Linked DNA regions of Rhinolophus ferrumequinum. The protein of the gene in region 3 interacts with the protein of the main gene of each other region in a pairwise test. Links are inferred from orthologs where the notes say so. Each region holds a gene or a part of one and is shown on either strand. Other genes may lie near its edges. The genes, in order: CTSB, LRFN1, RGS2 and WDR74.

Evidence for each region.
Region 1: the proteins of RGS2 (region 3) and CTSB interact in a two-hybrid assay, tested with the Homo sapiens proteins (2 studies listed by BioGRID and IntAct). The link is inferred for Rhinolophus ferrumequinum from reciprocal best matches to the Homo sapiens genes RGS2 and CTSB.
Region 2: the proteins of RGS2 (region 3) and LRFN1 interact in a two-hybrid assay, tested with the Homo sapiens proteins (2 studies listed by BioGRID and IntAct). The link is inferred for Rhinolophus ferrumequinum from reciprocal best matches to the Homo sapiens genes RGS2 and LRFN1.
Region 4: the proteins of RGS2 (region 3) and WDR74 interact in a two-hybrid assay, tested with the Homo sapiens proteins (2 studies listed by BioGRID and IntAct). The link is inferred for Rhinolophus ferrumequinum from reciprocal best matches to the Homo sapiens genes RGS2 and WDR74.

The regions. Positions count from the first base shown.
Region 1 is NC_046301.1:31,907,017-31,914,577, forward strand, and holds the start of CTSB (cathepsin B), read right to left. Parts: upstream 3,019-7,561; 5' UTR 2,868-3,018; intron 1-2,867. UniProt on the Homo sapiens protein: Thiol protease which is believed to participate in intracellular degradation and turnover of proteins. Cleaves matrix extracellular phosphoglycoprotein MEPE. Involved in the solubilization of cross-linked TG/thyroglobulin in the thyroid follicle lumen.
Region 2 is NC_046298.1:38,500,419-38,508,282, reverse strand, and holds the start of LRFN1 (leucine-rich repeat and fibronectin type III domain-containing protein 1), read left to right. Parts: upstream 1-4,859; 5' UTR 4,860-5,062; intron 5,063-5,601; exon of another isoform or gene 5,602-5,746; intron 5,747-7,292; 5' UTR 7,293-7,325; intron 7,326-7,864. UniProt on the Homo sapiens protein: Promotes neurite outgrowth in hippocampal neurons. Involved in the regulation and maintenance of excitatory synapses. Induces the clustering of excitatory postsynaptic proteins, including DLG4, DLGAP1, GRIA1 and GRIN1.
Region 3 is NC_046310.1:5,165,060-5,172,325, forward strand, and holds the start of RGS2 (regulator of G-protein signaling 2), read right to left. Parts: upstream 3,015-7,266; 5' UTR 2,971-3,014; coding exon 2,855-2,970; intron 1,848-2,854; coding exon 1,746-1,847; intron 1,638-1,745; coding exon 1,576-1,637; intron 1,014-1,575; coding exon 847-1,013; intron 567-846; coding exon 372-566; 3' UTR 1-371. UniProt on the Homo sapiens protein: Regulates G protein-coupled receptor signaling cascades. Inhibits signal transduction by increasing the GTPase activity of G protein alpha subunits, thereby driving them into their inactive GDP-bound form.
Region 4 is NC_046294.1:8,014,856-8,022,168, reverse strand, and holds the start of WDR74 (WD repeat-containing protein 74), read right to left. Parts: upstream 3,014-7,313; 5' UTR 2,948-3,013; coding exon of another isoform or gene 2,860-2,947; coding exon 2,796-2,859; intron 2,715-2,795; coding exon 2,608-2,714; intron 2,529-2,607; coding exon 2,407-2,528; intron 898-2,406; coding exon 822-897; intron 684-821; coding exon 537-683; intron 385-536; coding exon 283-384; intron 19-282; coding exon 1-18. UniProt on the Homo sapiens protein: Regulatory protein of the MTREX-exosome complex involved in the synthesis of the 60S ribosomal subunit. Participates in an early cleavage of the pre-rRNA processing pathway in cooperation with NVL.

The DNA.
Region 1 (7,561 bases), on a different chromosome or scaffold from region 3:
GTGTATGAGAGCTACAAAGATACTTACTGCAGTGCTGTGAGCAACAGTGAAAAAGCAAAACCAACCTAACTGTCCCTCAGTAGACAAATACACTGTATTTAAGATGAATTAACTAGATCTGTATGTATCAACATAAATAACTCATAAACACCCCCGGAAAAGGATACACGCAACATAATTAAAGGTTACCAATTTTAGTAACACTGCTCACGGATTGATACAAAGTATTAAAACTACAAAAAAGAGTGCAGGAGAATTATACAGAGAAGAGCAGAAAGGAACTACAACGTCCATCAGGAAGACTCCAAGCAGGCACAGTAGTGGTAATGGACTTGCAGAGCAAAGAAAAACCTGCTCCCTGCAAAGGGGAGCTGTGACCAAGAGGGAATGCACTCACCCTGCGAACCCTACGCAAGCCTGAGACATGGAGGCCCCTGGTGCTGTGGAGAGGTAATGCGGATGAGGCCTGAGGTTACAAACTGGAATGGTTAAGTCTAAATATGTAATGGTGTTTGATCCCTACATCCCCTGCCCTATCCAAACTAGGGTGGAGTCTGAGTAACAGACATGGAAGGACTCAGGATTTCCCTCCCTTTCTTAGGCAGCTCATGGAGTTTGTATAGAGGATGAGACAAGAGAGAGATGAAGATATGGGACCAGGCGTAGACTGCTGCCTCCCAGTATCCGGTGAGTACAATCCACACCTGTATGTGCCTCAACTCATCCAGCAGCTTATTGTCAATCCCTACCATTCCTCTGCACCTGAGGTTGGACCCTATGAAAACGAGTGATTTCCATCTTTCATGACGTTCACAAACTCCCATTTCATATAGCTCAACCTCCCATATTTTTGATACTTTGTTTATACCAAATTATCAAAAATAAGCGGCAGACCTTATGAGTCCTCACCCCGAAATATTTCAGTCCTTCTCTCCCAAGGGCAGGGATAGTCTACACAACCACCACTCATTTAAGAAAATCACCCGACAAACATTTCAAGGCTCCTCTGTGCTCTCCCTTCACTTCTCAGTCCAGCTGCCAATAGTAACACAAAATCTCTCTCATCCCTTACATGTGGGCAACTTCCTACTCCATCACTCTAGTATAGCAATGGGGGGAAGAACCAGTCTAGAGGAAGGATCTTGGTGCAAGTTGCTGAACCAGTGGCACATGGGCAGGTTTTTCCTGGAGCCAAAAACGCTTCCACTCTCACCGTCTGACCAGTTAGAAAACAGGGTTGTTCTGACCCAACCTCAAGGGAGTTACTGGAGCCTGGCTGTGTCTGGCCTGTGTTCCGCTCACTGGGTCTGTGAAGCCCCTGGATGAGGCATCTGCACCTTTCCACTGGGCAGTGCCCCAGCTCTGGGACAAATGCCCTAAAAAGGTTTCAGCAGAACCTTTCTTCAGAACACCTTCAACCTGTCTCTTTGGGAAAGACACACAGGGTGGGGATAGCCCAGTCCCTTTCTGAAGCTCAAGGTCCCTGGGTCTAGTGCCAAGAGGAAACAATTCTCCATGAAGGAAAGGACATTATGTTAAGAAAGGGAAGGAGGCTTGGCCAAGTCAGACACCCTTCTAAACCTTTCACCTTCTCAATCTGCGCTGATAGATTCATTTAGATGAATGCATCTCAGCGGTATTCACCTGGGGTGGAGGCACTTGGGGATCAGGTTTCCCAAGGTAACAAAAGGTGCTAGGCCTCCCTTTGAACCTACCACCTCCCCTCCCACTGGGTGAGGGTTTCTACCTGCTCAGGTAGAGACTTATGGAGCCTGGGCTTTTCTCCCTTTGTCTGTCAGCAGAGAAGGGGTTGACCTAGGCCCACTAAGAAGGCAAATCCACCTCAGATTTACCTGGACTGCCTGCCAGCTGAGCCTCTCAAACTCAGTTACTCTATAGTGCTCCCTAAATGCTCCTCCCACAGGAGGGAAGAGGTGATGCCCAGATACTCCCACCTGCTTTCCCCTGTCCCACACCTCCCTGGGCCTCCGCACTGTCTCTTCTCCACAGCAGTCAAGGAGTAGGGAGGGCATTCTTCTTCTTCTCCCCCACCCCAGCGAGGAGGATTGGGCCCTATACGGCCTCACACGCCCCTCTCTGCTTAGTTTCTGCCCCTCTCTGCTTAGTTTCTCCTCTCATCTTTGGATTTAACTCTTCATGTGGGTTCCACCCTATTCCACCCAGTTCAAGGTTCCTGTTTTCTGGTTTCTGTCTTCTGGGGTCCCTAGAATTGTGCGTAATTGTGTGCACAAAGCTGCCCAGGCAAACCCTTTAGAATAAGAAAACACCTAAAATAGATGCATGTAGATACTATTATCTCAGCAGTTTTTTTTGTGTTTTTTTTTTGCGGAAACTGAGGCCCAGAAGCCGAGAAGGGGCCGAGGAGCCAGATACTGGCCAAAAGTCACTGGGATCAGGACCAAGCCATTCCTTGCAGGCTCCTCCCTCGGACCTTCCCCGAAAACTCCCCCGTTCCTCCTGGGCGACCTACCAGGCAGGCCCTGGGGACAGGCGTATCGTGGGGTCAAGCTGACCCTGCCCTGGGCATGAACACAGCCCTCGAGTGAGGACTTGCAGGCGCAAGCTTCCCGGCCGGAGTGGGGGTTGGGAGCCCGGCTGCCCGCTTGAGGGTTGTTTTCGCTTTTTTCACCACGGCGACTTTTCGGAGTGCGCGGCTGCCACCCCTGCTGGCCCGGCTGTAACAACCGGAGGGTCGCCTTATCCCGCCGGCGCCCGGGGACGCCGCTGGACAGCATCTGGGCCTGGCGGGGGGGCGCACAGGGCCCCAGTCTCATCACCCCAACCAAGGTCACTTCCGCCGCGGTGGTGCTGCGCGGTCGCCCGGCCCGCCACCCGCCTGCACTCACCGAGTTCGGCCGCCGAGAGTCTGGGCCTGCTGCTGGGGGATGCCTTCGGTGCCAGTGCCGGAGCCAGAGCCGCCGCCGTCGCTTCCCGGGGTCGCCCCCACTCCTATTTACCGCGCTCGGCCACGCCCCGAGCCCGGCTGACTCATCACGTGATCGCTGCGAACACGCGGCCCCACCTCCGACTCCCCGGCGAGCCCGGCACCCCTACCCCCACCCCCTGCTCCTCCTGCTGGCAGCACCCCCACTCCACTCCAGCGCCGTCACCCCTGCGCGCCTCCCGCCTTTGTCAGCTCCTGGAGATCCCGTTGGGGGTGGGTGCGCTGGCCCCGGAAAAGGGGCTCTGAGCCCCACCGGCCTCTAACCCTCCGGATTGAGGCCTGTGGGGAGCGGTAGGGAGCTGAAGGTGGCCCTAAGGGTCTCCACCCAGCCTAGAAAAACTCCCCTGGGGACGCCTCAGCCTGAATGCAGAGCAAAGCCGGATGGATCCCTGCTTGGGGGAGGGGATAACTGACCCGTATTTCATTCATTCAGGAAACATCGCCAGAGTTGGGGGTATCAAGAGAGCAGGACTCCCAGAAGAGCGTTCAAAGGCTCTTTTAGCATTAATATTCTGAGAACGTGCCTATGAGATAGATACTCCAACTATGTAATAATGAAAACGGTAATTAATACCACTAAGTACTAATTGCTGGAGCTGCATCAGGATTTCTATAGAGAAGGACCTTAAGAGTGAAGATCTCTCAGTATCCAACTCTAACCCTGTGATCCTACAGCCCCTGCATCAATCTTTTCCATTAGGAAGTGGACAGAGATTGGAATCTGCTACATAGAACTGTGTGACTTTGGATAGGTGACGTAAACCCTCTCTTCTTCAGATTCTTCATCTAGCTAATGAAGATGAATTATATTGACCTCATACAGCTGTGAGGATTAAATAGGGCTCTATTTAGTCATTCCATTTCTTCTTCATGTGTATCCCAAACCCCAGCAATGACACAGCCCTTTAAATCTTGATGCTCCCTGGGGGACAGACTCGGCTCCCACTCAGTCAGACGGCCCATTTGGGGGATATTATTTAAGCCAAGCAGAATGGTAATTGAATTTGAGTTGTAACCAGCATCCCTAGGAAGCTTAGGGCAGCAGATAAAACCTTTTGGATGTCTCCTTGGGCTGCTCATTCTCCCTTCAAGGGAGAATCTCCCTTTTATAAGTCTGGGAGATTGATCTCCTGAACTTCTAGCAAGTAGAAGGAAGCAAGTGTTTGGACAATTTCTTTTCTCCCCCCGGCCCCCCATTCCCGGTCCCCTATTCATCCAAACCTATAGGGCCAGAAACACCAGATTCTACCATGAACCCAAATCTTCTGAGCTTCCTGGAGGTCTCTGACCAGTGGCAAAAGTTTGATGACACTCCCTTGCACAGGAATCTCCCTTCTCAACACACTCTTATTGCACTAGTTCAGGCCAAGGTGAAAAGAAAATGGAGCCAGAAGAACGTGGGTTTGAATCCTAGTTCCACAGTTACTTCACTTCTCCCAGGCTCTAAACAGGTTGTTATGAGGAATAAATGTACATTAGCTTCTGTACAGTGTGCACCAACCATAGTACCCACAGGTACACGCTTAGTGATGACAAAGGCCCTCCTGTTTTCTCACGCCCAGAGCCAGAAATATAGAAAGGTTTGGACTTATTAAAAACACTGACCACACCAAATGTTGGCAAGAATGTGGAGCAATGGTGATTCTTGTATATTATTAGTGGTTGGGTTCCCGGGCGGGAATTCCCGCCTGTTCTTGAGAAATTTTTTCACTTTTCCGTTCCCAAATCCTGAGAAAAGTTGGTCGGGGAAATTGGGAAAATCGGCTCCTTGAACCCAGGTGGTTGGTAGTATCGGCCATCACTTTGTGGAAACGATTCATCGTGGAGAACAGAAAACAGTTTGTATCTTGGGATTCCGGAATGGGAAAGCGAAAAAAATTCCTGAGAACGGGCGGGTACCGTAGGTGGGAAAGTGAAAGGGTACAGCTACTTTGTTTTAAGAAATACTCTGGCAGTTTTTTTTTTTTTTAAATACTAAATGTGCCCTTACCCTATGACCCTGAAATTCTACTTTTTTGTATTTACTCAACAGAAATGAAAATAGATGACCAGAAAAAGACTTGTACAAGAATGTTCACAGTGGCTTTATTCATAATAGCCCCAAACTGGAAACAGACCATGTGTCCATTTGCAGGAGGGTGGATCAACAAGTCATGGTATATTCAAAAATACTTACCAAACACAAAAAGGGATGAGATTACCACTACACACCACCACAAGTTGAGTCTCAAAAACATTATGCTGAGTGAAAGAAACTGTACGCAACAGAATGTATGCTATACGATTCCATTTAAATGAAGTTCTAGAACAAGCACAACTGATGTATAGTGGAACAAAAATTATAATACCATGTTTGCCCGAAAATAAGACCTACCTTGAAGATAATCCCCAGTTAAGATTGTCAGCCAGATGGACACATTTAGTACGTTACGATGATGTTCAAGAAGATGACATGACTATATCTGAATAAATGTAGATTGTTGTACATGAAAAAATAAGACATCCCCTGAAAATATGCCCTAATGCATCTTTCGGAGCAAAAATTACTATAAGGCCCGGTTTTATTTTCGGGGAAATACGGTACAAGACCTGATCTTATTTTCGGGGAAACACAGTAATAGTTGCCTCTGGGGATGTGAGGGTGGAATTGACTGAAAAGAGGCTTGAGTTCCTTCTGGAGTGAGGATTACGCTCTATATTTGCTAAGAGTTTGAGTTACAAGGTGTTTATCTTTGTCAACGCTTTGCAAATGCACACTTCAGATTTGTGGATTTCATCATTGTGTGTGTATATATATATATATATATATATATATATATAACATCAAAAGAAACCACTGTAGGCAAATACAGTTGACTCATGAACAATGCAGGTTTGAACTCTGTGGATCACTTACAGGTGGATTTTTTAAAATAAATACTGTTGATGTAATTTCTCTTCCTTATGATTTTCTTAACAACATTTTCTTTTCTCTCGTTTGTTCTAAGAAAACAGTATGTAATACAAATAATATACAACCTATGTGTTACGAGTAGTCAAAATTATGCTTGGATTTTCAACTGTGTGAAGAGACAGCACCCCTAACCCTTGTGTTGTTCAAGGGTCAAGTGTACTGGATTCTGGTTAATGATATGGATATTGAGAGGGAAGTTACAGATATCTGCAATTTACTTTGAAATGCATTAAGTTGATGGATGGATGGATGGATGGAGGAAGCGAGGGAGGGACATATAGATGCAATAGATGTGCAATAAAGCAAATACAGTAAAATATTAATGGTACAATCTAGGTGGGGGGCATACCAGTATTCATTTTAATATTCACTGGAAAATTCTTTCAGCTTTTTGATATACATTTTATTTATTTACTTATTTTTAAAAAATTTTTTTTATTGGGGAATAGTGTGTGTTTCTCCAGGGCCCATCAGCTCCAAGTCGTTGTCCTTCAATCCAGCTGTGGAAGGTGCAGCTCAGCTCCAAGTCCAGTCGCCATTTTTAATCTTAGTTGCAAGGGCTGCAGCCCACCATCCCATGCAGGAATTGAACCAGCAACCTTGTGTTAAGAGCTCGCACTCTAACCAACTGAGCCATCTGGCTGCCCCTCCGGAAGCTCAGGGGCAGCTTGTTGTCTTCAATCTAGTTGTGGAGGGCTCAGCTCTCTGGCCCATATGGAGATCGAACAGGCAACCCTGTTGTTTGGAGCTCGCACTCTAACCAATTGAGTCATTGGGCTGCCCAAGCTTTGTGATATTTGAAAATTTTCATAATATCATGTTGGAGTAAAAACTCTGATCTTAGAAGCACACAAAACAAAAGCAAAATGTAAATTAAAAACCACTCCATAAAACGTTTTCTTCAAAGATCAGCTCAAATATCCTTCTTTCTTCTTTTTTTCTGTGCGCACACATCCCTGGTGTCTCTTTTTTGTCTTTTAATTTTATTTTATTGGGGAATATTGGGGAACAGTGTGTTTCTCCAGGGCCCATCAGCTCCAAGTCATTGTCCTTCAATCTAGTTGTAAAGGGAGCAGCTCAGCTCCAAGTCCAGGCGCCATTTTCAATCTTTAGTTGCAGGGGGTGCAGCCCACTCCCCCCTTCCGGGAATTGAACCCGCAACCTTGCTGTTGACAGCTCACGCTCTAACCAACTGAGCCATCCAGCTGCTCCTTCCTGGTGTCTCTTTTTGTGTTTTAATCCTGGTGTCTCTTTTTGTGTTTTAATCCTGGTGTCTCTTTTCTTACAAAGACACCCGTCCAGTTGCATTAGGGCCCACCCTAACAGCCTCATCTAACATAATCACCTACTTAAAGGCCCTAACTCCAAATACAGTCACATTCTGAGGTACTAGGGGTTAGGGCTTTGAAACATGAATTTTGGAGGGAGACGCCATTCATCCCATAACACTGTCCTCGAAGAGAGGGCTGCTTTGGACTTTCCCAGAAGAGGCAGGCTATTTGGAAACCCCAGGGAAAAAGCTGACTGGGACCATTCCTGACCATACGTGTCTTAAAAGCGTAGCGAGCAGAAAACAATGAAGGAGCAAAGGCCAGTCAGTTCCCATAATGGATCATCTGTTACGGGACAGGGGCTCTTCTGGG
Region 2 (7,864 bases), on a different chromosome or scaffold from region 3:
AACAATGGCACTGTGACCTTGGGCCTGGGCTGCCTCTCCCCCAGCCCTGGCATTCCTGGGGGAGGGTCCACAGCCCAGCTCTAACCCTCCCCCAGCCCTCCCAGCTGAAACACAGCATCCTCTCACCACCCCACTCTGCCCATCCCCAATCAGGACAAGCCCTTGCATGAGGGATTCAGGATAGAATCATTCTACATCGGGAATAGAGAAATTCCCCCGGGGCGGGGGCGGGGGGGGGGTTGAGTTGAGCTCCTCTCTGCTGACACCTGTCCTAGTGTCCCCACCATCTCTCTGCCAGGCATATCTCCAACCCCGCGCCCCTCACCCACCCGTCGTAGCCTGAGCCCTGATGGCTAGAGATGGAAGAGGAGGATGGGCTGGGGATAGGAGAGGTCATTCAATTAACAGGTCAAGCAATTCCTCACCTGCAAGGGTCAGAGAGGTAAAAGGACTTGTCCAAGGTCATGCACTCACATGATCAAATTAATAATAATAGCTAACTCTCTGATTGAGGGCTTCCTACGTGCCAGGTACTTCTATAAGCACTTTACAGGTATTAACTCATTTAATACCCCATGAAGAAGATGCCATTATAATCCCCAATTTACAGATGAAGAAACTGAGGCCCAGAAGCTAAAAATGGTTCCCTGAAGTCCCACAGCTAGGGTCTGTACAGTTACAACTTTAACCCAAGGCTATCCTGTGGCCAATGGCCACTCCCTCTCTTAGGCATGGGATTTAGGGAACCATCTCCTCCTCTTCCTCTCCCTCCTCTCCCTCCTCCATTTCTCCTCCTGCCCAATTGTTGAACTTCTGTCTGCATCCAGGCTTATGGTTGCAAACAATCCAATTAGAAAGAGGCATGTACAAGGATTTACCCAACCAGGAGAAGGGAGTTTGGAAAGCAGGGACCAATCAGAGAGAGTGACTCTGAGGGGCAGCCCAATACACAGTAGGTTTGGCTAGAGGGATTATGGAGGGACCAATCAGCGAAGCCAGAACAGAATACATTATCCAATGAAGAGTCAGCACAATGGGGTGTGGCTTTGGATTTGAGGCCACTCCTTAGAGGGGTGGTACAAACTAGGGACCACCTCCTCTCTTTCCCCCAACCTCCTCTCTGGGCTGGAACAGATCCAAGCTCCCTAATTTTTTTTTTTTTTTTTTCCTATGGAGGGCGAAGCTCACAGTGGCCCATGCGGGGATCTAACCTGCAAGCTTGGTGTTATCAGCATTAGGCTCTAACTAACTGAGCTAACCGGCCACCCCAAAGACCCCTAATTTTTGAATCCCAGCCCTTCGCTTTCCCTGGGGCACTTCTCCCTGCTAACCTAGAATGTAAGCAGGGCTTAAATTGGAGAGGTGGAGACTGGATTTTAGGGGGAGCTGAGAATGAAGGACTCAGAGTAGGCATGACGGGCCAGCCATTCCGTAGGCTGAAAACTATATGCTTATGGAGTGGAGCCTAAGATAGAGGAGTGGGGCTGGGGCTGAGGAGTGGGGCTGAGACTTGCCCCTGGGGGCAGAGGCTGAGGGAGTCTGAACAACTATTATATACTCTAGGGTGGTGTCTAAGGGGAGGTGCTCAGGCTTGGGGGTGGGTCCTACACTTGGGCTTTGCTTAAGTCAGATAAAGCTGGGGTTTTGCTTTAGGGCAGAGCTTTAGAGACAGAGGGTGGGACCTAAGTTGTGGAAGAATGAGGGTGGTTTGGGGTAGGAATTAGGCCCCTAGGAAAACAATCACATTATAGACTTACGGCTGTTGTCCTCTTTTTCAGGCCAACTCACATTTCCCTAGCTGCTGGGGTGTGCCCTTTCCCTTTTAGGGACCCTAGACTGGGAGATGGTGTTTATTCCTGGGTATGGCCTCTGCAGGGAGTCTGCAGCAGACCTAGCTCTAGGTCCTCTCCCAAGAAGCATTCAAGAACACATGTTTACGGGTGCTAATTGGCCTTCTGGACACTGGAGAAGATTGATGCCTCTGCCACTGCCCTCAGGAGGCTTACATTTCAATGACTAGACAATAAGCAATAAACAAATAAGTAAACAAATAAGCAAACAAGATCATTATTAAGAATGACAAATGCTATGAAGGAAATAAAATGAGGTGATATGCTAGAAGTGATGGGACCTGTTTGGGCCATTTTTTTGTTGCCTCTTTAGTCTAGAAGAGTCCTCCAGCTTTTTTTTTTTTTTTACTCCCAACATTTATTATGAAAAATTTCAAACATGCAGCAAAGTTGAAATAATTTTCCAGTGAACACCCATCTACCCACCATCTACATACAATCATTCACATTTTACTGCACTTGCTTTATCACATATCCATCCAACTATCCATCCATCAACTTATTTTTTTTATGTATTTGCAAGTAATTTGCAGACATCAGGACCATTGGTGGGGGTGGGGGTGTCAATTGGAGAATGGGAAAGGAAGGCTTCTCTGAAGAGGTTACATTTGAATTAAGACTTGTATGAAAAGAAGGAATCAGCCATGGAAGCGGAAAAACTGCCAAGGCCCAGGGGCTGGGATGAGCTGGAACAGAAAAGTCATCGAGGCCAGAAGACAAGAGTGACCAGGGATTAGGCCAAGAGCTCGCAGGGCCAGATATGCTCTGTGAGTGAGGCCGCCTCTGCCTGGGTGCAGGCTCTTTGTTTCTCCATCTCTGTATATCTCTGCCTCTCTTATTATTATCTTTCTCTTATTATCTTTCTCCTCATCCTCTCCTTTTCCACTCTGGTCCTTCCCAGGCCTGACCTCACCCTCTTTCCCCTTCACCTCCACTTTCCCCTCTATTCTATTCTGCCACTTACGATCTGTGATCTTAAACAAGTAACTAAAGCTTTCTGTGGCTCAATTTGCCTCATCTGTAAAATGGGGATAGTGATGACACCTCCTCATCTGGCTGCTGTGAAGAGTGAATGGAGTTATCTACGTGAAGCTGTAGAACCTTTTCTGACACAAACAATGCTGGACATGTGTCCACTTTTGCTGTTATTGTTCTCCCACTTCTGTTTTCCTAGCTCTGGACCTCCATGCTCTGGCAGGGAACACCAGGAACCAGGGTGGGAGGTGGTGGTAACAGTGGTGGTAATGGTGGAATCTGGAGACTGGGGGTGGGGGGATTGTGAGTGTCCCCGGAGGGTATCTAATGGTTGTGAGTGGGGTCAAGTTTCACTTAGAGGGAGGCTGTGCAGAGATACCCTTGATCTGAGGGACAGGGCAGTCTTCGTGTGATGACAGCAAGGGAGAATTTAGGGAAGGGGTTTGGGGGAGGACCTTGATACAGTGGGATCCAAAATTGAAAGGGCTTAGGCATCCAGGGATCTGGGGGACTGCCATAAGACAGATTTTGAAGTGAGGCTTTACTGGGTTTGGGGGCCCAGTGAATATCTCAGAAAGAGGTGAAGAGTGGCCTGGGATACTCAGTGGGATTTTTTTTTTTATTTTGTTTTTTGTTTTATTTAGTTTTATTTTTGTTTTAAATATAGATTGTTGTACATGAAAAAATACTCAGTGGGATTTGAGAGAGGGGTAGGGGGTCATTGGGTAGGAGTTGGGCAAAGGCATCTGAACAAGGAAGGAACAAGGAATCCTGGACACCACCCAATTCACAGGGAAGGGGGGAGGGTCTACAGGGTCCAAGAGAGAATAGGAACAGGGAGGAAGCAGGAGCCTCACAACGGTAGGACTAGTGGGGAGGATGGGAAAGAATCTGGGGCAAATCTGGGAGTTTGGAAACCAAGAGGTTCCTTTGAGGGGAGGATGTCTGGGTTTAATGGGGGTAATGGGAAAGTTTAGGGTCTCCCCATGGGGACAAGAGACATATTTGGGACTCTTAGAATTTAGACATGGTCACAGGTCCCCAATGGGAGTCAGGGAATTGTTTGAGGTCTTAGAGGGTGGAAGAAAGAAGTGGGAAATGGTCTGTGGTCCTGGGTGGCTGTAGAACATGGTCTGGGTCCCCAAAAGAAGTAAGGCATAATCTGGGTCTCCCCGGGTGTTGACATATGGTCTGGATCATCTCTGGGATGTTGGGGTATGGTCTGGGGTCCGTGACGGATTGGGTGTGGTCTGGGGCCCACCCGCATGTTGGTGTATGATTTAGTGTCCCTGATAGGGGTTCTCTGGATTCCCTTGGATGTTGAGATATATAGTATGGGGTCCCTCTGGATTTGAGGGCATGTCTGGTGTTCCTGATAGGGTGTGGGGCAGAGTCTGAGGTCACCAAGGAGAGTAAGACGTGGTTTGTGGTCCTGGGTGGCTGTAGAACATGTTCTGGGTCCTCAAAGGAGGTAAGGCATGGTCTGAGGTCCCTCTGGGTATTGGGACATGATCCGCGGTCTCTATTGGAAGATCCCGGGTCCCTATGCTAGTCGGGGCGTGGTCTGGGGGTCTCTTGGGAAGACTGCGAGGCTGGAGGTGGGGCTGGGGAGAGGTCGGGGGCGGGCCCGCGGCTCCGCAGTGGAAGGGGGTCTGCGACGGCCCCGGGGCGGGGGTCTGGGGTGTGCAGCCGCCGCGCAGCCCGCCCGCCCCCTCCGGTTGGAGCCCCCTCCCCCTTGCGGCGGTGGTGGCGGCGGGCTCCGGCGGCAGGCGGCGCGGAGGGCGGAGCTCGGCAGCGGCTCCGGAGGGAGGGCGGGAGGCGGGAGGGAGGCGGCCCCGCGGCACCGCGCCCCCTCCCCTGGCCCTCCCCCACCATGGCGCGGAGCGAGGCGGCGGCGGCGGGGCCGGGCCCGGGGCCCCCCCGGGGCTGGGTGAGCGCGGCCCGCAGCGGCCCGGGAGGAGGCGGGCGGGGGTGCCGGTGTGAGCGCGGGTGTGAGCGCGCGAGCGTGTGAGTGTGTGTCCGCGGCGCTGCGGCGGGCCCGGCGTGCGCTCGCGCGGCCCTGTGTGTGCCCGGCGCCGGCGTGTGCGGCGCCTGCTTGTGTGGCCATCCGGGTGTGTGCCGAGGTGCTGGGTCCAGCCGTGCCTGTGTCCCCCAGAGTGGCTGCCCCTCCGAGTGGCTGCCCCTTCGACTGTGTGTCTGGGGGGCTGTCGCGTGCCCATCGGAGGGGCTGTGTGCAGGTGTGTGTGCGTGGGTTGTGTGCCCAGGTGTGGGTCCCCCCCAGCCAGTGTGTGAGCGCGGCTAGCTGCGTGGGGGGTTTGTGTCCCGGCTGGATGTCCATCTGAGGGTCTGTGTAGCCGGGTGTGCCTGCTTGGGTGTCCATTTGTGTGTGTGTGCGCGCGCGCGCGTGTGTGTCTGCGGGTTGTATGCTCCGAGGGTGTGTGTCTGTGTGACCACGTCAGGTTCCCGGCCGGGGGCTGAGGCTCAGCGCCTTGTGTGTCCAGGCCTCTGTGTGGGTTTGGCGGAGGGGAGTTTGCTGTTCCCTCGGTCCATGTTAACTGGATGGGGGGCCCCTCAGCGGTCCTCGGGGGAGACGGCCATGTCTTCCCCTTCCCGGTGGCTGGGTGGGGGGGATGGGCAGCCGGTAGGTGGACAGATGGAGGGATGAGAGGCCTAGGGTTGGACAGATGGGCCCGAGGGGAGGCACGCAGACCCGGCCTTTCCCCACCCACCCCACTCCAATGTCCCCACCGGCCAGATCTCTGCAATGGGGCCAGAGTTGCCTGCATCTAGATGGTCAGGCTGGGGGACCTTTGGGCTGCTGGTGGGAGGATCGCCTTGGAGTAGTGCTGTAGGACTCAGCCCCCCAACCCTCTGAGATTCGACCTGCTGAACTCTGACCTCTCGCCCTGGCTTGTGCTCTGGTGAGGGGGCCTATGGTAAAAGGAGGGATGTTAGGATTTCTTTGGCCAGCTATGTAGGTGGGGCCAGGGTGCCTCCGGGCTGGGAGGGTATGTCCATGCCTGCGTGTGAGTGTGAATCTGTGCCTATCTGTTGACTATGTCTGTGGTTCAATATTTTGTGTGCATTTGTAAGTGTGCAAATCCCTTACAGGGCTGTTGTGTGAGCATGTGTCTGTTATGAGTGAACATCTCAGAGTGTCTGTGCAAAGGTGGATTTTTTTGTACCTGTGTGTTTGAGTGTATCAGTCTTGTAAAGAAAGTATCTGTATACGCTTGTGGTTCTGTGTATGTGTGTGAAGTGTGTATCAGCTAGTGTGTGCATTTGTGCATCTGTTGGTGTCGGAATGTATCAGCTTTGTGATTGTGCATCATGAGGATATGTGAAGTTGTCTGAGTGTGTTTGGGCATTTAAGAGTATGCACCTGTGTATCTTTGATTGTGAGAGTGTGTTATATGTGTGTGTCCCTGTGTGTTGGTGTGTGCAAGGGTATCTCTGTTATAGGTGCATATACCTGGTTGTCTGCAAGGGGGCACATGTGTTTGTTGTGTGTGTGCATCTATGTGTGTGAATGTGCAAGGAAGTCAGTGTTGTACATGTATGGATGTATGCTGGTGTGTCAACCTTGAGGGTATGTGTCTGTCTATGTTGTGAGTCCATTTATGCATCAGTGTTGATCTCTTGGGAGTGGTGTTATATGTGTTCAAAAACATATATGCAGGGTTGTATGCACAGACGTGCCTGTGTCCCCAGAACAAGGCTGACCTTGCTTCTGGGCCCAGTGAGATTGGGGCCCATTTGGCGTGACCTATAGTATGCCGAGACCAGTCTGGGGTCCATGGACACAAGTGTGTCCACATCCCAGGCGTAGAGTCAGTGGAGGGTGGGGGGTACAGAGCTCATGCTGGTGTGTCCATGGAAATCCAGATGTAGAGACTTGGGTTGGAAGTCCACGTGTGTTTTGGCGTGTCCACACATGTTGGTGTGATAGTGGTGTGATGGCAAGCTTGGGAACCTCTGGTCCTTCCCCAGCCCTCAGATCTTTGAAGTTGGGGCACTGGAATGTGAACTCTGGAAGGAGGAGGCTGGGAGCCTAGAATCCTGGATATGAAGGAGAAGGAAGCTGGGGTGGGGTCCAATTCTTGGGTCTTGAGAAAGGAGGGGACTGAGACCTGGACTCTTGAGTCTGAGGGAGGGGGGAGGAGGGTCCCAGACTCTAGGGTCTTGAGGGAGGAGGGGGCTGGAGTGACTAGTCTCTTGAGACACTAGAGGACGAAGGGCTAACGTCCTGGACTTGTGGCTTTTGGAGGGTGAACAGTCCTGAGGCCCAGACTCCTCAGTTTCCAGAGATGACTTCTTGGGTCCATCTGAGATTATGCAGAGCCTCCAGCAGGAGGGCTTAAAAGAGGGAACACACCAGGGACTGCCTTGGCTGAGATGGTCTCCGAGGTAGGTCTCCAGAGAGGAGCCAGAGGATGCTAACAAAACTGTCGTTTTGTTACTTTGCAGGTACTGGCCCAGGCCCTGACTCCCTGAAGAGAGGTGAGTGGGAAACCTCCAGCTGGGGATAGAGACATGGAGTGGTCGGGCTGGTTCTGAGCCCACTGGAAGCCGGGAGCCCTGCCTTGTATGGATTTCAGTGTAGGGTATGGCAGTGTCCTGAGGGGCCAGGTGTCCTACAGGCTGGGGGTGGTGACAAAGTCATGAGCAGCATGTTTGGGTAAGGGCTCATAGCAGAGCCAGGACATGGGGAGGCAGGTGGCAGTGTCAGGCCTGGAGGCATCCTCTCTCAGGATGGGCAGGTAGTTGGGAAAGGGGAGTTTCCTCGGGATATCAGTAAAGGGTCCAAGTGAATTTTATAACATGAAATGATTCTTGCATTTGGAGAGTGGCATGGATGTGGTTTACCATTTTGTGTGTGTATGTGCATGTATGTGGGAAGTCCAGCCTGCTGAGTCCAGCCTCTGGCTGAGAGAGAGCCAGAGAAAAACATAATGACGATGATAATAACGAAAATAATAATAATAATCGCAGCTGACATTTATGTAGTGTTTACTCTGTCAGGAACTATTCTAATCATG
Region 3 (7,266 bases):
GATTTGGGGGAAAGATGTACATCCAGCTGCTAAGGCCACATAATCCCAGACCTACTGATGGTAAAAATGCTTTTGGATCGAGAGTATTACACCGTCTGTTTCAGTCTCACATCCCTGCTTTTACGGTGGGAGACACACCATGCTCAGACCACGTTCTCTCTGTGTGCCTGCAGTCATGGAGGCCATCCCGACACATGCTGCTTCTGGACGGCGACGGGCTTCCCTGCTCACTACCCAACTTCGAATCAACAGTTCTGAGTGATGTTTCCCCAGCACCCAGGCTGAACTCAAGGGCAGTCTTTTGGGCAGGTCAGCCTTTCTCCCTTAGGAAAAAATGAAATGTCCTCCACGTTGGGGGTCCTGTGTGCATCTCATGTAGCGTGTGGCTCCGTGGGAATCTGTGGCTTTTTACACAAGTCCTGGTAGAATTCCGACTCCAAGAAACGGGGATAAGAGTTGTTCTCCATCAGGCTGTATACCCTTTTCTGGGCGGTCGTAAAGCAGCCACTTGTAGCCTCTTGTATATTTTGAGCAATTAGAGTTTTGGTTTGAAAGTCTATGTTTATCTGAAATAAAACACAAAAAGTGGTTTATTCTATATTCAGAGTCAGAGATTTAAGACTGTGTATTTAATATTTGCCAACAAAAACTAAAAACTATAATGCATGATTAGCTTCACCAGCCAAGTCATTGAAGAAACTTAATCAACTTAACTGAAAGCTAAGGTAAGAGAAAAAAACACTCCCCCCACTCCCAAGCCCTTTTAGTTTGACTTCAAGTCTTTTGTTTCGCTTTGGAGCTAACAATGTTCAAAACATGCTGAAAATAAGAACTTATTTTTCTTACCTCTTTTGGAGCTTCTTTTTCTATGAAGTCAGTATATATTTTCCTGGCCTTCGAGGACAGCTTTTGGGGTGATTTCGTTTTTTTGAAGTCTTCACAAGCCAGCCAGAATTCAATATTTTCTTCACAGAATTCAGATTTTAAAAAAGCCCTGAATGCAGCAAGACCATCTGAAGGGGGAGAGAGGGAGAAGAAAACATTCAGATTGTGAATGGAATGACCAAATAATCCCTTACATGTTTTCCTATAACTCCCACTCCCTTGCCTCTGTGTTTTCTTATTTAGAGATGATAGTAAATTCCTCGATATCACTCAAACCTGTAATCCTCAGAATTGAGCTCTTTAAAGACTAAGATGCCAGTAGACAAAATGCTTCAGCTGGCACACTGCTACAAAGATATAAATACTTAACTTTGCCATCAGTGGAAATATTCATAGGGGAGCCCTAAATTCTCTGGGAGCTAAGCCTCTTGAAAACCTTGTATGCAATGGAAAAGTTGACTCAATGTTAACCAAGAGCAACCACCACTCTAATTTTTTTTAGGTTAAGTTTTCTTTTCCCCCCTGAACAAAGCATGCACTTCCATGGGTAGACACTGGGGCATAAAGGCGAGTGTCACGATGACTGTCAAGTCAAATGGCATCTGGCAAGCTGCTCTTGTGCAGTGTGCACAGAACCTTTCCAGACTCCAGTGATGCTTGAAAGGGATTAAATTCAAGAAGGTAACTTACATTTACTGGCCAGCAGCTCATCGAAAGCCTCTGACCACAGCTGGGCTTCCTCAGGAGAAGGCCTGCAAGAGAAAGGGTGCACATCAGCTTACTCTTGGAGATCTTCAGAGTTCCCTTTTCCGCTCAACAGCTAGCTCGTCAAATTTGCAAGAACAAGATTTTCAACTTACTTGATGAAGGTTTGCTGTTTGCTTTTCTTGCCGTTTTTGGGCTTTCCAGGAGAGGAGGAATGTTGCAAGAAATAGCTCAAACGGGTCTTCCAATCTTTTAATCTAAAAAGAAAAGGGGGGGAAAAAAAGATTCACTAAGTGGCAACATTTGACATTGCTACAGCAGCTGATGGCATTTTTACCAAAGTCGCCCAGTAAATACAGACAAAACCAAATAAGACAAAACAAGAACTCTTCAAGTCACTCTGACACATTTAACATTTAATCGCTACACTTATGTATTGAACACAATTAGTTTCACCCATTCATCTGCACATAACTACTAGGTTTTATAACTAAGGGAAGGATTACCTGAAATGACTAGCATAGTGTAATGAATTTAGTTTGCATATAGTTCAAAAGGCAGATGCTATTTCTAGCCCGCAAAAGGCAGCAGTTTTTCTGCAACGTTCATTACAATCCGAAGGCATTTCACACTTGGTGAAACGGACAGTGGAGCTGCCTGGAGCCAGTCCGTGCTCACTTCCCTTCAGCCCTTGGAGCTGAGGTTCTGGACCAGCCAGAAGCTGTGTACCAGGAGGGCTGTGTGTGATGGAACCACCCACCTCCTGACTACAACATTCATGTAAGCGCATGATCAATTAAATCATAACATTAAAAGTAAAACGTGGATTTAAAAGGCATATCCGAACGAGCAAAAAAAAATCCCTCCAACCCTGTAGAGCTGTCTGTGGAAACTGATCAGAAGTGAAAATGCAGCGTATGAATGATGGGGACGCCCTTCAGCCCGGGATTCTCTGCTGTCAACTTAAATGCAGGGGGACAAAAACCCAACCGCGATTTTCTCAGCGCATCTACCGCCGCCTCTAGATCAAGAATTTTCTTCAGCTCCTAAACTCTACCCGACATTCCTTCACTCGCGGAAACTACCGACCACACAGATTTAATCTTACTTAGCAAATGAAGCTTTTCTACATTTTTCCCCCTGCAGAGGCGCAGGCTACATTGCTTCCTATTGTTTAAGACGAGTGCCAAAGCCCCGCGTTTGCAGCAAACCCAGAGAGCTAGGTCTGCAAGGGTGGCTGGGGAGAGAAGAACGCCGTACTCACAGCGTCCGCTTCATTTTTTCTCGCTTCTCCTCGCTTTTGGGTCCGCTGCTGGAGCTCTTGTCCATAGATCCGCAGTCGTGCTGGACAGCCAGGAACATGGCACTTTGCATTATCATCCAGCCTCCGGTGCAGCCGCTGGTTGCAGCTGGAGAGGCGCTGCGGTATTTATAGGACGAAGAGGATGGGGGCGTGGCCACACGACGCCGGGCCCGCCCCCCGAGGGCGCCTATTGGGCGGCTGCGGATGGGCCCGGGGGCGGGTCTGCAGCGGCCCTGCAGCGGCCACGGTCCCCGCAGAAAGGTCTGGAAGCCAGGGCGCTGCTGACGTCTGCAGCCCCGGCTTGTGGCGCATTGGGGCGGAATGTGGCGGCCGGCCTGGGCGGTGTGAGGCTGGCAGAGACCATTGGCTTTGAGCAGTCGCCGGCGACCTTGGCCAGGCGTGGAGGCCGGGCGGGGGTGTGGGCCCGCTCCAATCCTGCCATGCTTGCTTGGGCTGACCCCCAAAGGCATCTTGGAACCCTGTTGGAATGCACATTAGGAAAGGAACAGGAGAAAGTGACTGGATTAGACGACAGTGCTCTACTAGCTAGGGGTGCCTTCGTGATCACCACTAGATACGTGACAGTTCGTGCGACTGTATGCTGACTCCTCAGGAATCCTTGGCTGCCTCTCTTTCCAGAACAGAAATCACCCATGTGATGATGAGGTACAGGGAGACACCATGACCTCGGCAGCTGTAATGCACCAGAATCATTCTCGTTTAAGAGGGCAAAGATGCTGGGGTTCCTTGTCACTCATTTGTGGCTGTCTTACGATTTGCTAGAACACCGAAGAACTGGCGAGAGAGCAGGACGAAGAGGAGAGGCTAACAGTGTGCTTGAATACATTTAATTTGTTATTTCTTCAGAAGCCATGTCTGCTGTAGCAGGCTTTGAGTGATTGGACTGGTAAGGCCAAAGAGAGAACCTCACGTACAAAATGCTTGGATTTCAGATTTTCATTAGAATCGAACACGGGGATTTTCAAGTGCATCCCCCCTCAAGCATCTAAGTAGGCAGTAAGCTTAACCGCAAGGTATTGACGAGGCTGCAAATATTCTCCCTACTTTGCCTTAGAACTGTAAAAAGAAAATTGGAACTGGTTTAACAGATTCTTACAGTGAACTGCCCATAGTTGGAGCTCCAAGTTTGAAATGGAGGATAAGATCTGCAATTATTACTGAAGATGAAAGCCATGTACCTTATTTTGAAAAGAAAAATCATTTAGATTTCAGTAATAAATACTTTAAAACATGTTTGTGAAATGTAAAATTGTCATTTTTGTCATGCATATGCTCTTCATCTCTAGAAGAACACTGCTGAATATTTCCTACATCTAGTTTTACTTCGATGTTTCAATGTTTATTAAATATGGGTAATGTGCATACACTTGCTTTTTCTTGACAATAAACGCCTCAATGTATTTTTCACTTGGAACATTGAACAGTATAACTCTAATAATGGAAAGGCCAGGTGTTCTGACAAAGAAGCGGTTAGGAGAGAGAGCTGGGCTGTGTCACGGGCGCCAATTAGAATCTCAGCTTAGATAGTACATGCTAAGTAACCATTGGGACAATCCCATCACAGCCCCTTGAGCCCCAGTTTCTTATTTGTACCAAGAGTAACATATCTTTCTTGCCAACCTCATTATATATCATGTGGCCCTTATGTGAAAAGCCTTTGCAAGTTCTAAAATACTATACAAACGCTTGTTATTAATTCGCCTATGTAAGAAAAAAGAAGTATCTGGAAGCATAGCTACTCAAGGTAGAAAAATCATTAAAGGATTAACTCAAAGAGTTAATTAGTTTATAAATGTATAAGTACTATTAAAAGAGAAAGATAATGTCACAAAGAATTGTAGTTTCCAGCTCATAGATACTTAGTAAATGCTCTCTGGATAATAAGCAATACGGAAAATAAGCGAACTGTTTGACATTTAAACTTTTCAGAAATCTCCAAGTCAGAAAATTCAGTCATCTCAATATACTCACAAATGTAAATATACGTATATGAGTATATGTATACATGGAAGCCACTAGTTTAAATATATTCTAGATGGTTCAGTAAGTGTTTAATATAATGATAATGATTTGGTTTTTCATAAACCATTTCTGATTGACAACTGGTGTTATGTGGCAGAAAATTAATTTTTTTTCCTGAAAATTATGAGGTTGATTGATAAATTTGCATGTAATTTAACATTTCTTTGTCTATGGGCAATTTTAAGAGTTAAGCCAGTCTCCTCTACAGACTAAGAAACATTTTGGTGAAAAGATTGCCATGCTACTGTGTTTTTTAAAGACAAGCAGACCTATATTTAAAGCGAAAACTACAGTGTTTGATGACTTCCCTTTGTTTTTTTTTTTGTTGCAACTGGCTTTTAGGTAAAGGGGATTGCTCAATATCAAAATGACACATATTTTCCATTCTGTGGTGAAGAAAGAAACAATACAATAGGTTGTGAATATTACATAGCAAAACCACAGCTTGAGAGCGGCTTGGTAAACTGACTATATGTTCTCTATGTTGAATCTGTCATGCCCTCTACTGGAGAGGCTCTCTGAACACGTTAGTGATGGATGGAGGTTCTCAGGATAGTTCTTGAACTTTTTGCATTAAAAAAAATAATAATAAAAAAATAAGTTGCAGAAGAAGGCAAATAAAGTAAGACAAGTTTCTGGTCATGCCAAAGGGAGAATATGAAAAGCTAAAGTCTCCCCTGCTGTGATTCTTCCCCTCCCCCTGCATGCTAGCTCTTCTTAATCAAAAATCAGTATTATTAGCTAAAACTGTTTCATACTTACGCTTTAGAAATTTAGAAAACAAGATATATGCTTCATAAAAACCCCACAAAAGGATCATTCTGTGTATTTCTCTGTGCTTTGCTTGTTTTGGTCAGTGATATCTTCGTTCCTAAATTTGTAAGAGCTGTAAACCTATTGCTTACTTCCTAAATCTTAAATTGGTAGTTAGTTTTCAAACAGGAAAAGCAAACAAACAAACAAAAAACCAGGAAATTAAATACCACGTGGCAAAGGGGCTGATGAGTAATTGGAAAAAATGAAGACTGTAAATACCCTAATTGTTGACCACGTTTGAAGAAGTATAACACTTGTCTTGTTTCTCTGTTTTTCTTTTCTCCTTTGCCTTCTTCGTCTTATTGAATTTTAGTTGGTGAAATAGACTTTTAACAGAATGAATGTATACACGATTCTGTATGCCACTCTTCATCCGTGATAGGATCTGAAATTTAAAAATCATAATTACTATCTTTCTTAGAATGTAATTGGCATCCCCAGAAGCTGATAAGAGAAAAAAGGTGAGTGCTTTTGTCAGGAATGAATCAGAGTTTCAACCTAATACCTGACACGTATGATAGAGGAGTTAATAATTTTCCCAGTGTTTGTGTGGTTTATTCCTGGGAGAGCACATCTGTGGTTCTGCCTTAAATTCATCCATAGTGTGGAGTAGGTCACCCTTCAAATGCAGGCAGGGCCACTTCAAGGTCAGAGTCCTGACCTTACTGAAGCATCTGGGTTCTGTTTGAAAACCGACAGCAGGCGCATCACAACTTTTTTGTTTTTCCCCAAATACAAATACTAACATATATTGAAACTCCTGTAATAGGTTTCTGCAGTTACAGGACCATAAGGGTGCAATCTACGCTGGGGAGACTGTGCCCAGCATATGCCAGTGGCTGCTCACCTGCGACAGTAGACTACACAGAATCTCAGGGGTGAGCAGGTAATTAGAAATGCTTTCTTATAAAATAAGTTACCTGGAGGCACATTGCAGGTATAAAACGCAGAAGAGAAGCAAGGAATTTCTTCTGCCTGGGATTTTAGGTTCTGTGCACAGAATTTTGTCAAATCATTACGGTGCCAAATGTCCTGTTGACTCCCTTTTTGGGAATTTTGGGATATTGGCTTCATGATATACAAGATTTCCAAAGGTCTATACATGTATATCACTCACTGAGAGTCTGTCGTTTTTTTTTTTTCTTTTAAGTTTGAAGAAGGGCTGCTTTTCTTCTAGTAAATAAGGAATCTCTTTGCACTGGTATTTCCAGTTTACCTACCATTCCTATGTAGAGAGTACTAATCCATTTTAGACATTGATTTTCAAAGGTCTTTGATCCACGGACTACTTCATAAGAACCTAAAGCCTTGTGGATGTTCTCTCCCAGACACATTTTTTTTTTTTAATTTTAAACAAACACCAATTCCCAAATCTTAACAAAACTGGGGAAAGGACAATGCTTTCAAGAAGACACTAGCAGGCCTTGACATAATTGTCGCATTGTAAGTAGTCAAGTCTTAGGTGCTCAGCTAACGGCTTGGCTCGAGACCCCATACCATTCTCAACCTCCAAA
Region 4 (7,313 bases), on a different chromosome or scaffold from region 3:
TGGATCATAGACACGGACCTGGAGGAAGACTGCGGTATCACAGGGTACCCTCACTCCACATACCCCCCTATGGCTTCCCCACGTCTTCAACACCCCCTTCATATACTGCTTTGCTGTTTATAACCCACTCTTAGAGAAACTTTCTCATTTGAAATATATCCCTCTTCTGAGTGTTAGGGGGTTGGGGGAGAGCCGTTAGGAGCATAAATGGACAGGGATGAGGGAAGCGATCCTCCAGGTTGGGAGGTTAAGCCAGGAGGTAGGGATGGGGTGGTCTCTCACCTGATGGTACCCTGTACAGGTGACAAGCTTCTGTGACTCAGGGAGGAACTGTATGTCCTGGTCCCAGATGGGAACTCGCAGGTCAAGCCAGTCATTCCGTACCTGGTGGGGTGGGTAGATGGGGGGCAGGGTTGTGGGGTGCTCAATGTGTCCCTTCCTTCGGCCCTCCATCACCCCTAAAGCCATGGTCTCTGACTCATAATGGCCTCAGTTCCCTGGACCTCAGACCCAGCCCCTCCCCACCCATCACTCACATTCTTGGCTCTGAACACAGGCTCCTCAGACCCCTGCAGGTCCCACACCTTCAAAGCATTCTCTTTCCCACCCGTGGCAACTACGTGGGGGTGCACTGGGTCTTGGCGCATCCTACACACCCCAGGGCCCACCCTCAGTTCCAGGAGCTGAAAAGAATGGGAGATGAGATGAGGGATGAGAGTCAGTTCCAGAGTCCTTAATCCTCTTCCCCCAAAGCTTTCATTCAGCTCCCACCCTGGCCCCCTCCTTCCCCAACCACAGGGATCAGGGCAGGGGAGCCTCACTGGGCCGGAGGATGTCTCCTTGTCATTGTCACCCCAGACTCGAAGAATCCCAGAATCCACACATGTGATGAGGGTGCTGCAGAGGGAAGATAGACTTAGTTAAAAAAAAAAAAAGTGAAAGTATCCTCTAGGCTCCCTTCAACCCACCCCCAAATTAACTAAACTAAATTCCTACAGGCCTGTTCCTAAGGAAGCCTCTAGGCAACTCTGGTCTGGACAGGGCTTGGCAGCTTCCAGCTTCCCGTTGTTTAATTTCCTCAACAGAGGGAGGCTTTACCAGTTTTATAAGTGAGGAAACAAGCTCTGAGCAATTAAAAGATTTGCCCACTGAGCTGTGAATGTCAGAACCAGAGCTGGAAATCAAGTCTGTGATACTCCAAAGCAGAGAATGCCTTTGTATTCCACAGCTCCATCTGGGGTCACCCGGCCCCACAGGTCTTTCTGACTCTTGAGTCAGACACCAGGGAGTCAGAATCAATAACTCTGAAAGGACTGAAATGGGACTGGTTTGGATTTAGGGTTTGGCCAAAGTCAGACACCAGCTTCTTTTGAGTTCCATGTTCTGGGTTCCAGACGCTAAATGTCGATCTCTCCCTCAAAGTACCCCTCCCACAAAGCCCAAGCAAGTCTCTCCCCAGGAGCTGTACAGCCCGAACCTATGGTCCTTCTCACATTTGCTCACCCTCCCACCTTGGTTCAGGGTCTGTATCACTTCCCTGGATTATGGCAACAGTCTCTGAACTGCTTCCTCTCCAATTTATCCTCCACACTCTTACAGGCTCACAGCTCTGACCACAGCACTGTCCTCTCAAAAACCAGTAACCCCCACCACCTACAAATGTACAAATCTCTCAGCCTGGCATTTAAAGCCCTTTACAATGAAACCCAACCTACCCTGCCTATCTTGTATTAAAACGCTTCCTCAGCTTCAACCCCCAAATACTACTGATCGCCCCTGAAAGGTACCCTGTAGTGAGACATCAATCCTTGGCCTCTGCCAAGGCAGTAGCCTCTTCCCAGAATGCCCTTACCCCTTTCTCCACCTGCCCAAATTCTACCAATCCTTCAAGGTTCACTTCAAACATCTCACCCACACAGAGCCTCCTAGACCTCGCCTGTCAGAATTATTACTACCAAACACACACAGCCTGTTCACAACCTCCTCTCTCCATCTTTGGAAGAAAGCTGGGCCGGTAACCTAACCCAAGACACCACTTTCCTATCCTTTACTTTGGGACCTTCATCACCTTGTTGGTGGTTGTTAGCCCCGTTTAAAAACATCCTCTTAACTATTAAATGACTTGCTCAGGGTCACTCAAAAAATTATGGAAACGAGAAAATCCCTGGAGGATGAAAGTAGGTACTGTGTGTGTCTGGTGTACCTGCAGCCCTTGCATTTCGCCCAATGCCTGAAACTCAGTAGGTGTCCAATAAATGCTTGTTATAGGAATGAACGAAAGAAGGCAGGACACAGGTCCGTCACCCAGCCCAGACCTGTGTCATCTAAGGGCTGATCATTATTCGGCGGTCCTGCGGAAGCCTCATCGCTCTCTGTTGAGGGGCTCAGCGAGGGACTCGGTCTTACCCGTCGACCTGGGCAAGGCCTCGGAACGTGCCCTCCCCTCCGGGGCAGTGCCTCTGGCCCTGAAATCTGCCCTCCTCGGTGCTGAAGTGCCTCACTGTCCAGTCGGCACAGCCCACCAGGATCTGCAGGTAGAGGAGTGCAGAATGGTAAGGACAGCGAGGCTACCGTACCCCAGCTCCGTCCCAGCAAGCGGCCGCTCACCTGTGTCTCACCTCCAGCGCCCCAGCACAGGGTGCTGACCGCCTCCTCGCGTCGCGGTTGTCCCGCCGCCGTGAAATTCGCCGCCTGTTTGCGTTGAAGGTTCACCCCTACGGGACGCGGGAGTCAGTCGCACCGGGGTCGCCAGCTGGAGACCTACCCACTTCCCGGCGCCCGCTCCTGCCACCCACCTTTCAGGATCCCAGTCTCCGTGCCGATCCACACATGGTTCCAGCGAGCCCCCGCAGCCGCCATACCGAAGTCTGGCAGCCGACAGCCGCACTTCCGGCGCAGCGTCTGCGTCACCCGCGCGCGCAAAGGTGGATCCGGACCAACGCTGATTCTGGGAGTTTAAAGAGCGAGGAGAGTAGCGATCACTCGCCTGCTCCAGTTTGTTTTTCTTTACGATAACGATTTCTGGAGATAATTGTGGGGATCTGAAGACTTAACTGGACCATTTTACACTTGGAGTGGAACGCATCCTGGGTAGACCGAGATGCCGGGTCAAGCCAGCCTTAGTACGTCTCCCTGCTGCAAAGCATCATGTTTTGTTTTCTGTACAAGACAAGAGACCACTTCAGAATCGATTCAAATCACTGTTGTGGCGCATGGCTTCAACCTAGAGTATAAAAGGCACAAAACGAAGAAAGACGGAGAAAATAAAACCGAGAATCTTTAAAACAGGTATCTGTTTTGGAAAGGTGGAAGTAGGGGTGTCGTTTTTATTTCTTCACATTGAGGTTTGGTGATGGTAAAAATGAACACAAACTGAAAGTAAAAATCTGCAGGTAACAGAAACAAAAGCTGCAACTTTAAAATGTCATAATTAAAATGTCAACGGCTTCCTTCTTTGACTGTTTTCTGAGAAATTTTGTTCTTATGAAATCAGAGACTATCAGAAACTTTGCTGTTTGAAATTATATCAGTAAGAATAAAGTATCCCACTCTTGCCTGGCAGACCTAAGTCCTCCACGGAGAAGCAGCTATGTTTTCAGAGCAGCTGCAAGCCTGGCAATAGAGTTCTGAGCATAACATTCCACACTTATTTTTGTATTACCAAAGAAAGAGCACCCTTCGGAGTGCAGGCCTGATGTTGATCTCTTTGCACACAGCCCTTTTTATTGAACCTATCAGAACACAATTTAAACTAAATTAAACCTGAACTCCATCTTTCCTTAAAATCCTGTAACTTTTTTTTAAGACATCCAACCATTCCTCTGTTGTGCCGGTCTTTCCTCATTGTAATACAAGTCGGGGACACAGCTGGGGTTTAACGCTGATGAGGTTAAACTAACAGTCTGCCACTTAATATGAAGCCAAACTGAACCCTTAAGAAAGACCTCTCCCGTACACAGGATAAAAAAATCTAAAAACCAGTAAAGCGTTTCTAATAAATAAGGAGGAAACGAAGCTGCTATTCCAATACAGATCTAAAAAAAAAAAAAAAATTATCGTAGTCAATTTTCCTGTTTTTAAGAATGCATCAGAAGAGCTAAAAGGCAAAATATTGTATCGGCTGGGAAACACCAATTTAGTGCTTTCCTCCAAACCCCGCCCCGCGCGCGCGCACACACACACCCACTTTACAATATAAAAACAACAAAAAAAAACCCGTGGTTAAACTAACTGAAGTTTCTAAAACCTCATTTAAATTGAACTGCAATAGCAACTATTCGTAAAACCGAGCATTATCTTATTTTCAAACCGAGATAAGTTCCCCTTAAAAGGGGTGCACCGTTCCTGGAAGTACTGCAATACCAGGTCGATGCGTGGAGTGGACGGAGCAAGCTCCTATTCCATCTCCTAATTCCAAAAATCCATTTAATATATTGTCCTCGGATAGAGGACGTATCAGATATTAAACTGATAAGAACAGATACTACACTTGATCTTAGCCAAAAGGCCGAGAAGCGATGCCTTTGTTTTTCACCTCCCAGCCTACCTTATCCTTTCTGTAGCTTTTACAATTGTGGTGACTTTAACGGCATAACTATTAGTTTTTTTCCAACACACAACCTTTCTTAAACTTAATTTATTATTATTTTTATTCATAATTATAGTAACTTTTTTGAAACAGACCTTAAATAAGGTCCTTTACCGCTTCGTCTGTCAGCTCACTGTTCGACGTGTTTTGCATGAACCCGCCCCTCTGCTTTTATACATTCTTGGGATTGGTCCACATACAAGTCAATGCCCACGTTTCAATGCCCGCTTGATTTCTTTCTCCCAGACTGTGGCATGTCTCTGAAGGCTTTTAGGCACGCCATGGGGGCGACCGCTCCGTTAGTCAGTTGAGGGTGGGGCGGGTGGCGGCGCCGGCGCCGGAACACACCGTGTTACCCCAAATATAAGACCTAGCCGAACAATCAGTTCTAATGTGTCTTTTGGAGCAAAAATTAATATATAATATAATGCAATACAATACCCGGTCTTATATTAAATTTTGCTTCAAAAGATGCATTAGAGCAGATCGACCAGCTAGGTCTTATTTTCCGGGAAACACGGCATTTGGAGAGTCCGCGGTTCCGGGGCACAGGTTTTGGAATCCAAATTTCTACATTGGGATTCCTGCTAGCCAGTTTCTGATTTGATGAATTGAGGCATGTTGCGTAGGCTCCTGCCCCCTGTTAAATGGGGCGGTTGTTAGAGCAGGACACTCAGTGAAGGTTGGCCTTTAGGATTCCATTCCCCTCGCATCCTGAGGCTTCTGGCTCCCTTTTGTGCCTCCTCCCAGACTTGTCACATTCACCCCCAACTCGCTTCTACCTTGCCGTTTGTACCATCCATCACCCACCGTGGACCCTTCACAGAGGGGAAAAGATACCCTGAGAAAGACGTTTCTTCGGAGGTTCCTGATTCCTAAACTCGGCGTCCCGCGGTGGGAAAGAGATGGTGAAGCCCAGTGTAGGGAAAATTTAAATGAGCAGTTCATTTATCGACTCAAAGCAAAGCCTGGCTGTATGAAAGGGATATCAGGCCCTGGCTGTAAGGGACTTGAGGTCCTGTTTCCTTGGAAACTATATTAACATAAATGTGGAATATTCTGTTGGAAACCTCCTTAATTGAAGCTCTATAGCTGGCTGAAGGCCGTGTCTCTGCGTCAAAGTTAGATCCTTAAGGCAAGAGTTAGGTCGCTTCATTCTCACCGATATGCTTTCAACTAGCAAGGTTTACTGATAATCTGTGACATAATAGAACAAGGTCAAGGTTCTCAGCACTGTGTCCCTGATGTTAATAAACAGAAGCAGTTTCCACAGTTTCCCATAAGCAAACCAGAGCCTCCAGGGAAGAGCTGAATTGGGGGATGTGGTTACCAGAATAATGCCCCCCACAAAGACACCTATGTCCTAATTCTCAGAGCCTCTAAATATGTTATCTTACATGACAAAAGGTACTTTGCAGATATGATTAAATTAAGGATTTTGAGAAGAAGAGATTATCCTGGATTTGGTGGGCCCCTCTGGTGTCATTGCAAAGGTCCTTATACGGGACAGAAGGAGGCAGCAGACTTGGTGTCAGAATGATGAAGCATGAGAAGAATTTGATGACCCTTTGCTGGCTTTGAAGATGGAAGGGGGTCACATAAGATGACCTCTGGAAGCTGGAAAAGGCAAGTAAATGATTCTCCCGTAGAGCCTCCAGAAAGGAAGGCAGCCCTGCTGCCACAGCTTGATTTTAGCCCGTTGAGACTCGTTTTGGACTTCTGACCTCCAGAAGCATAAGATCAATTTGTTTTGTTTAAGCCACTGAGTTTGTGGTAATTTGTTATAACAGCAATACAAAACTAATACAAGCGCAAAAGCAAAATTCAGTTTCTTTCAATCCCAACCTTCTCCAAATTCTGCAAGACCCAACCTAGTGCAAGCCACAGCCCCCTGGCTTGGCTTCAGTCCTGCCCAGGCTACAGCCAAGCACCCCATCTCTTGGTAGGTCTGTGCAGTCAGCAGTTGACTGTTCCTGCTTTGAAGCAAAGGCAAGTGGGGATTGGCTCCTTCACTCTTGTTCTACTGTTACCTCTGCCTCTTCCTGCGTGGGTGCGGGAGGCTGATATGAGGGCTCCACGAGAACTTGGAAATGCATTTGTTTATGCTTATTGAGCAGTTATCTATGGCCACAAAAAAAAAATGAGACATGGACCTTGACTTCATGACCTTTATAGTCTACTGGGGAAAACTGGGAGAAGGCTCCTGTGATCCTCCAGGTGGGAGACAAAGGGGGCTGTGGTAGCAGAGATGGAGATAAGTGGAAGAGTTCAGAGAAACACTGGCTTTGGTGACAGGCAAAGCGAGGCCAAGGCAAGAATGTTCTTTCCATGGGTACATTTAATTTTTGTAATTTAATGTTTTATTTTAATGAAATTCATATCAATCAACAAGTAGTATTCAAAGGTTTATAGCAACTATCCCCATTTTACACTCTTCTGTTAACTCTTTAAACACTTTTTATTTTTAATGGTACTTTCTTCCATATTTATAAATCGATTGAACAATTTTTGACTTCCTATTTTTTTGTGTTCTTGAGGACGATGCTATAAACTTAAAAACCAACACAAGATAAAGCACGTCGAAGAAATGGCTAGTCAACTTGAAGAGGTTTGTAATTTTTGTTGCATCCCCCAACCCTTTTGAGAATCTGTTGAAAACTTTCCCCAAATAAACACATATTTGTCTCACACAGGTTTGCATACAATTTCTGGTGGGATTCTTAAG